Oreochromis niloticus: one gene and its partner. The protein of the gene in region 1 binds, or shares a complex with, the protein of each later gene. Links are inferred from orthologs where the notes say so. Each region holds a gene or a part of one and is shown in the gene's direction. Other genes may lie near its edges.

The links.
Region 2: the proteins of rnaseh2a (region 1) and rnaseh2c are in contact, whole or in part, in a crystal structure (PDB 3PUF), measured with the Homo sapiens proteins. The link is inferred for Oreochromis niloticus from reciprocal best matches to the Homo sapiens genes RNASEH2A and RNASEH2C. Residues at the interface, in NP_006388.2 of Homo sapiens: Thr11, Asn99, Ser102, Thr103, Leu106, Gly107, Arg108, Val109, Val196, Glu197, Lys198, Leu199, Glu225, Pro226, Val227, Phe228, Gly229, Phe230, Pro231, Gln232, Phe236, Leu245, Ala249, Glu250, Asp251, Val252, Ile253, Trp254, Glu255, Asp256; in NP_115569.2 of Homo sapiens: Pro33, Cys34, Glu35, Val36, Ala37, Val38, Ala42, Pro43, Val44, Gly45, Arg46, Phe47, Phe48, Pro50, Ala51, Arg53, Ser62, Phe63, Arg64, Gly65, Arg66, Cys67, Leu68, Leu134, Glu135, Thr136, Lys143, Gly146, Ala147, Thr149.

Annotation. Positions count from the first base shown.
Region 1 is NC_031971.2:24,437,701-24,441,622, forward strand, and holds the start of rnaseh2a (ribonuclease H2 subunit A), read left to right. Parts: upstream 1-961; 5' UTR 962-1,117; intron 1,118-2,605; 5' UTR 2,606-2,614; coding exon 2,615-2,741; intron 2,742-3,373; coding exon 3,374-3,445; intron 3,446-3,728; coding exon 3,729-3,855; intron 3,856-3,922. UniProt on the Homo sapiens protein: Catalytic subunit of RNase HII, an endonuclease that specifically degrades the RNA of RNA:DNA hybrids. Participates in DNA replication, possibly by mediating the removal of lagging-strand Okazaki fragment RNA primers during DNA replication.
Region 2 is NC_031966.2:20,693,562-20,697,483, forward strand, and holds the start of rnaseh2c (ribonuclease H2 subunit C), read left to right. Parts: upstream 1-1,374; 5' UTR 1,375-1,452; coding exon 1,453-1,454; intron 1,455-2,138; coding exon 2,139-2,293; intron 2,294-2,761; coding exon 2,762-2,874; intron 2,875-2,968; coding exon 2,969-3,088; intron 3,089-3,596; coding exon 3,597-3,620; 3' UTR 3,621-3,922.

The DNA of each region.
Region 1 (3,922 bases):
AAGTTATGTATGTGCAAGGATTGGCTAGGGTTAAAAATAAAGCTGTACAGATTCAGTAGAGGAAAGAAACTCAATTAGTGGGTGCTTGAAAGCAACTGGCCTTACAAATACTGTGGATGGCAGTGTATTCAGTTCAGAAGGAGGAAGTAATGCAACTCTAAATGATGCCAACTGCCACGGAACTCTAAAGAACAAGAGTCTGTCGATGTTGTGCCAAAATGTGATTTCTGATGTTTCTCTGTGCTTTTAAGGTCTAATATCTTTTCTTATATTGGTAAATAGGTTGTAGTCAACAGGATATATTAATGGGCCTATATAGTAAATAATGAAATGATCTGTTTTGCAAGTGTCTTTAGGACTCTGCATCATTGTACTTGTTGTAATCAGTCAAGTCCTTTTTAGCCTCTTAACAGGTTTAGTTGCAATTTCTGATGTCCTCTAGGCCAGATCTCTCTTTAAAAAGGCATCTCTAATGTCAATGAGACCTTTGTATCTGTATAACAAACGTTCATTCTGACTCAAAGAATAGTACACTAGTTTATACAACATTTCACTATAGGGAATATTATAGGGTTACTGGCTCAGAAAGAGAAACAGCATGTTTGGTCTTTGTGCTGGAATGATGCAAGAATAAAGATTATTAGATGTCTTGATGCATTCTCAATCATCCAGGAAAGTAAATCTCCAAAAGTTGAATCTGTTCATCTGGACGTAGCGTTTTGTGGGAGAAACGTTTCGTCACTCATCCAAGTGACTTCTTCAGTCACTTGGATGAGTCAAGTCCTTGGCACTTGGATACAATTTATACAATTTATAATTTATTATTATTTAATTAATTAATGACACTTTTATTTGATTATTTAATAATGTATTTATTTAACTAATTTTGGCACTTGCGGCCCTCTATAGAAAATCAGTACGGGGGAAGAAAAGACTGAAATGATAGACTAAAAAACTGGGGGTGGCAGTAATACAACTCTAGAGAATTAGAACTGCCATCAAACACGAGAGAAGAAGAACCGATGATGACGTCAGTCCAGGGGCGCCAAATCTGCTGCACGGTACACACAGAAATACTCGTCAGGTGAAGTTTGGGCTGTTTTCATCATCTGAGCAGGTCAGCATAAACTTTGCTTGTGTTTATGACGATGTGTGCTACTTTGGCATTTTCTCCCAGCAGCCTAGACTAATGACTTAAACACAAATCTCAAGGGCGAGCTGGTTAAAACTGTCCGTTTGAGTGTCGCGTAGCATTTAGCTAACGTTTAAGCTCACAGCAGCCACACGGATAATAACAGAGCATTTCATATTTCTTCTGAAATGCACCTTTTCCGTTGATAAAATCCCCGTAAAAAATATCCGTTCTCTAAAGTTGTAAGGATCCGAAATGTGGCGATTTTCTCTATATATGCAGTAAATGTAGGAGAAAAGAAGCAATTTCTTTAAAAGTTAATTGTCATACAATCATTTAATCCAACAACGGAATAACTGTGTGTGGTTAGTCTATGTCCGATTGTAGGTCTGTGTGTGTTTCATTGTGTCTGAATGTGTATAACTTAGTGAGTCAGAGCTGGATCTCACATTTCTGTCATTTGACTTTTAGAGTACCATCGCACCCTGGGATCTTACATCTCCCTTCACAAAGTCCCTTACACACACCCACAGATTCACACAACATCATTTGCTCTCCTCTCAGGAGCTCAGTCTGGGTAGAGCTGTTATTCTCCTCCTGTAAGGTAGGTAAGAAAAACAATGTTCTGTATTTCGTTGTTTTTCTTACCCACCTTACATATCAGGTTTTTTTTTTCCTGATTTCTTGCTAAATATTGATATTAAAATATTCTTAAATATAGTGTGTAGAATTTTTTTTTCTCTTTATTTTTATTTTTTTAAACAGTAGTAGAAACCTGCCAGCCAGCTGCGACCCTTGTGGGGTACAGTCTAAATTTAATGTTGTTGGTTTCTCTTGGCTGACTAAAACTTGTTTGTCCTTCAACAGCCACCTTAGCTAGGATATCAACTTGAATAGAGAGAAGTAAGAAAACAAAATTCAGTTTACTGCAGTCTTACTAGCAGTGAGATTTTATGCACTGCAACTTTTAACCTGATCCTAAAGCGTGTGGTTTTTTTTTTTTTTTTGCACACTTTATTTAAGTTTGCACAAATGTATGGTCCCATCAGTCAATGCTGTCGAAACATTAACACCCCACTGTGTGCCCTGACACACCTGATTTAGATGCTATACAGGGCATTAAATGATGCCTCTTCTTCAGCAAAATTATTAAGTTATTAAGTGTGTCTTTGCAGTTTTTCTGAGTTGAAAGAATTCATTTAAAGAGTTTTACATTTTCTGATTCTTTTTTTCCCTTTAGTTTTCAGTATTTGTTTTCTCTTCAGTTAGGCTTCGGTTATTTTCGTAGTGGATTTGATTCTTATATTTATTTATTTGGTTTTAGTCTTTTTAATTAAAGTTTGGAGGGTATTTATCAGGGGCACCTGTTACAGAAGTTTAAAGTAAGTAAAGTAATAGATACATGCCTTACTTTGTGACTCACTAAGACAAAAATCAGCTTTAAATTTAATTTAATTTTGCATGTTCTTTCAGCCATCAATCATGGACCTCAGCCCCTTTGAAGCTGACAACTCCGTCAGCTGCCGGCTGGTTTCTGAGATCCCTGAAGTCTGCAAAACGGAGGATTGTTGTCTTGGCATTGATGAGGCTGGCAGGGGGCCTGTGCTGGGTACGTGACTTTTACTTACTCTAAGCTAACCACTCGAGGTTCTTCTATATTTGAAACACAGAGTGCAAACTATGTATGTAAAGTTATGCTGAAACATAGTGTTAAAATTGCACTTAACTAAATTAAATGTTTGCCAAATATGACAAATTGTAACCTTTAATTGAAAATTAATTAAAAAGCTTCATAACATGTTTTGAAATTTTATCCTACAACTTATTTTGAAATTTAATAATTTTGTTTACTGGTCTGGATACACAGAATGTGAAATTCTGGTCTAATACCAGTGTTAAAGAACAGTTTGTCCAGTGCTTTTTTTAATGTTTGTTTTTAATTTATTTGCTATTAATATCCCTTATTTGCTAGAAAAAGGAGAAAATTTTTAATGGTTAAAAACCATCAGATTTTCTGATCACCTCACTGTCCTTAAACATTAAGGCAGTGGAAAATTTTGACAGAAGACCTTTGGTACCTTTGGTAAATTTCATGTTATTTGTTGATAGGAGCCAACCATGTAGCTATGAGCTGATATTGATGTTTGTCATCTCCCTGTTATTTGCCATTTGGGTTTTGGGTGAATTAGTATGTACATTTAGTAGAGAAATCTAACAGTTTTGATGTTACTTGTGATGCAGGGCCAATGGTGTATGGGATATGTTTCTGTCCACTTTCCAAAAAGGAGGAGCTGAAGGACATGAAAGTAGCAGGTAAACCAGTTTGCTTGTATTGCTGTATTTAAACTGAGAAAAGCGCAGCATACTTTATGAATATAATGCTTTAAACTCATTATCACTGCTGTCCTCCCGGACAATTAAACAAAAAAAAAGAAAGAAAAGTATGAAGCTTGCTAATCATTATTTACTTTGTTTCAGTAGCTAAAAATGTCACCAGAAAATAAATGAGCATAAAAAGCCCCCCAGCGTTTTCCTTTCCACATTTGAAAATACAATTTGTCATTGTGTCTTCAGTGATTATTTGCTTTTCTTTTAGATTCAAAGACCCTGACAGAGGCAGAAAGAGAGAATCTTTTTGAAAAACTGGTTGAAGCTAAGAGTTATGTTGGGTGGGCTCTGCAGATTCTGTCGCCAAACACCATCTCTACCTGCATGTTACGGAGGTAATTTGGGCATACAGCGCCATGCACTTGGAGGTTTGTTACCATCATTCATGCACACTAACATAAT
Region 2 (3,922 bases), on another chromosome or scaffold:
GGTATAAAGACTGGACTGAAAAACTTTGAAAAACCTCCAGAAAAGAACATTTGGCTCCTTGGAAGTTAAATATAAAGAAATGAGGGGTAGCTCAAGAATTTTACACAACACTGTAAATCATAAAAGAAGAAGGGAGTTAAAACTTTCTCTTCATGTGAATCCTGATAAAGTATTCAAGAAAAAAAAGGATCCCATGCAACATGCCTGCAACAGTTATCTGTCCTGCTATAAAAACTCACCTCTTGCTTGTGCTGGCTAATTGTGAGCTGTTAGGAAACGTCTTCTTCTTTCCCTGAAGTCTCCTCAGTGGAGGCTTGACACAGATTTTATGCAATATGAGCAAAACTCCCCCAGGAAACTTCTCCTTAGTGGCTCTCGGGCTCACATTGGACAGGATTTAGTCCATCCCACACTAAGACAGATGCTGCTGCCAACTGTAGCAGAGTTCTCAGAACTGAACAAGACTGCAGTAACACTGCGACATACGTCATCAAAATACTCAGAATGTACGAGACATTCCAAAGTGTCCTATGACATGTGAGATTATTTAGTGATGCTGCTTGAAATAATGCCTACAAACTCACATATTTGTCCATATTCAGTGTTCGAATCCATAGTGTAACAAATGCTAACTCATTATCTAATCCGCTCCATGAGGTCTAATATTCTGAACTGTGTATTAGTTTTATGTCCAGCAGAAACTGATAATCATATCAAACTGTTTGCTGAACTGATCATTTATTGTTGATCTATTTTGTTTCGTTGTCGTCCCCAGGGGTTTTTTGTTTCAGTTTTGTGTTATCTTGTGTTCTGCTTCATGTCTTTTTAATAGCATTATTACTGGTAGTGATAATAGTCTCCCCAGTGTTTCTATTTGTATCACCCTCTGTGTATTTTCTGTTTTAATGCCTTGGTCCCCCTTTTGTTCCTTTGCCTCTGATATTCAGTTAAGTGTTAGTATTCATGTTTCTAACAGACTCTGTATCACTCTCATGCTCACACTCCTGTCTTCCTCTTTATCTGTTAGTCCATTTCAAGACTGTTTTGTGTTGTCTTGTCTTTGTCTCTTATTTTAACATATATATATATCTCTATCTATCTATCTATCTATCTATCTATCTATCTATTAAAATAATAATTAAATGAAACATTGAGATCTCTTATCAAAGTATCTCATGTCTAGAGGTGTGAGTGTGATCGCAGTTCAAGGGTGTTATTGTAAACACAAAAGCTACAAGCCGTAGAAAATCGTTGTGATCGAGCTTCACCGGGAGGAGGCGCTATTCTGGGGCTGAGCAGAAAAAACCCGCCAAAATAACTTCTAGCGTAGAAGAAGAAGGTTTTGCCCAATCAGAAGCTGTGTTTGCTGTTTACCGGAAAAGATCCCGTTTAACGTTTCACGTTTGGAAAACTGCAGAAACGTAAGGGTATAGATATATGTCTTTCAAATAAATGTAAGACTTTTATAGCATGTTGTATGGTCTTTAATAGGAATTAATTTTTTTTCTCTGGGATTCTTTGGAAAACATGCATGTGCTCACTTTGAGTATGTCGTATTCTGTGTATGAACAATGGAGATCAACAAATAAGTATTATCACCAAAAGCCAGAAAAAAAAAAATTGTTTTAAAATAAGTATTACTTTTGGCTGCTCTCAGATACTCAGGCAGACTGAAAGCTGGTCACCAAAAGGTTTCATCCTGTGCTGTGACGCATGGATTACATAGCTGAAGGTCTGACAGACAGTTATGGTTGACTGGTAGTCAGACAGGTAGGCTGGCAGAACAACACAAAAAGCTGTAAACAGGTGGAGTAACATTAAAGTCACCATGAGTTCTGAATCAATTGCAGATGATTCATTGTTTGTTTTATTTTTGAGTACACTGGTGTGCTAAACATAAGAGCTCAAAAAAAGCTATTATTGTGAACCTATAGTGACATCTGCAGTTGAAAAATTATTTTAATTGCAGAAAAACATTCAGATTAAAGGCTGAACTTTGTGGCTCAGTTTGTCACACATACAATTTGTTTTCCTTTTTTTTTTTAGTCTGGTAAACAAACTGCCTTTGATAAAAGAGACTGAGGTTAAATTAAAAACTAAAAATGTACTTTCTTTTTTCTCCTGTCTCCTGGCTGCAGGATGTCCTGTAATTCCAGTGTTATTCGTCTTTGTGCATCATCAGTGGGACAGGCACCGCAAGCTCCAGTCCACCTCATGCCATGTGAGATTGAACACAATGGGCCAGCACAGGTCAACCAATACTTCACTGCTACCACCAAAGACCAGAAACAAGGTAAACACAAAATCTTTTCATATCTGATAATATGGATTAATCCACAGCGGTTAGATAAAATGTAGACATATAAGATCGCTAAATGTGTAAATAAAGCAAACAGCTGCCAGTATCCTGGTTTTAAACTATTTTTCGCTGTTTCTGATATGATTAATTCGTTTTGGGGGTAAAAGTGGAATGGATTTTAATAATTCTCAGGAATTTTTAGTTAAAATGAGTTGCTGTTTAACACTTAAGTAAGTAATGAAAGTTTAGTTTTATAGTAAAAAAAGTGAGAACCAATTAAACAATTCAAAAACTTTAAAAGTGGGATGGTATGCGAACACTTATGAGAGTTAAAGCCTTACAGGATCATTTTAGACAGACTGGAGGCGATCAGTAGGTGCTTTAGGAAAGAAAATTACGCATTACACAGCACACATCAAGAATCCTCAATGCTTTGTTTTGTTTTTTCCTTTCACATTGCAGATAAGTCGGTGTCATTCAGGGGACGTGGGTTAAAGGGGCAGAAGATCAGCTGTCCACAGGGCTACACGGGGCTGGTGCTGAAAGAGATCAACAAACCCGGCTCAGACCAGGAGGTAAACACCACTGGAGTTGTGGGTCAAAGCACTATTTCATAAAATCAGATGTGTAGATGAGGGTTTTGTAACTTGTGTTTATGTGTGTTTTCAGGACAGGACAGTGAAAGTATCCTCTGTATTTGACAAAATGACCTACTGGAACCTGGAAACACCTCCTAATTCAGACGATACTATTGTGATGGCAATGGATTGGCCTGATTTGGCTGAGGCAGTGAGTTGTTTTTTTTCCCTCTTGGATCCATTAATCCAAGACCAAACCAATCTTTGTCTCCTAGTAATTAATATTTATCACATTTAACATAAATAATTTGCATTTTTTTTGGTGAAATATGACCCAAACAAGCTTGAGATACCCTTGGCTGTATTTTGGAGCAGGGTCATATACCATTCAGTCACCTTTAATCACATCCTACAAGAAATTAAGCATGTCGTGCTAGTTGTTGCTTGAAGCTGCTATTCTGAGTTAATTACCAGTTATTTCCTGGATCTATATTACATTTCCTTCTGTGGCAATTCAGAACATGTTCACCGGGTTTCATGAAAATCAATCTGGATGTTTTCTTGTAAACTCAAATTACACTGCACTGAAAACCTCAGTTGAGGCTCATTCTCTTTGGTGGAGGAACCGTGTTTAATTCAACTGATGAAAATACAAAAGACACAGACAGAAATGTTTTCAGATATTTGCAGGTTTGTCCTGATATTTTGTCTCTTCACAGATCCATGCTCCAGTAGAAGACTGAAGAGGCTGCCTGATGTCTCCTCAGCATTTTACATATGAAATGTGCTGCTTGTTGGTTATTCATGATAACTGATGGGAAGGCTTAAGAAGTATTTTCAGTAAGTGTTTCTGTTCCAGAGCAATAAGTTACACAACCTTTGTATATATCTTTAATGACGTTTTTTTTTGTAGTGAACAAAGAAAATTAAAAGTCACTGACCAAAGTGTGCAATGTTTTATTCACTGAAAAATGACCATGTTCATGTGGCACGTTCTACTCAACACTGTTTATTCACAAGGGCACATTTAGATTCTGTAAACTGG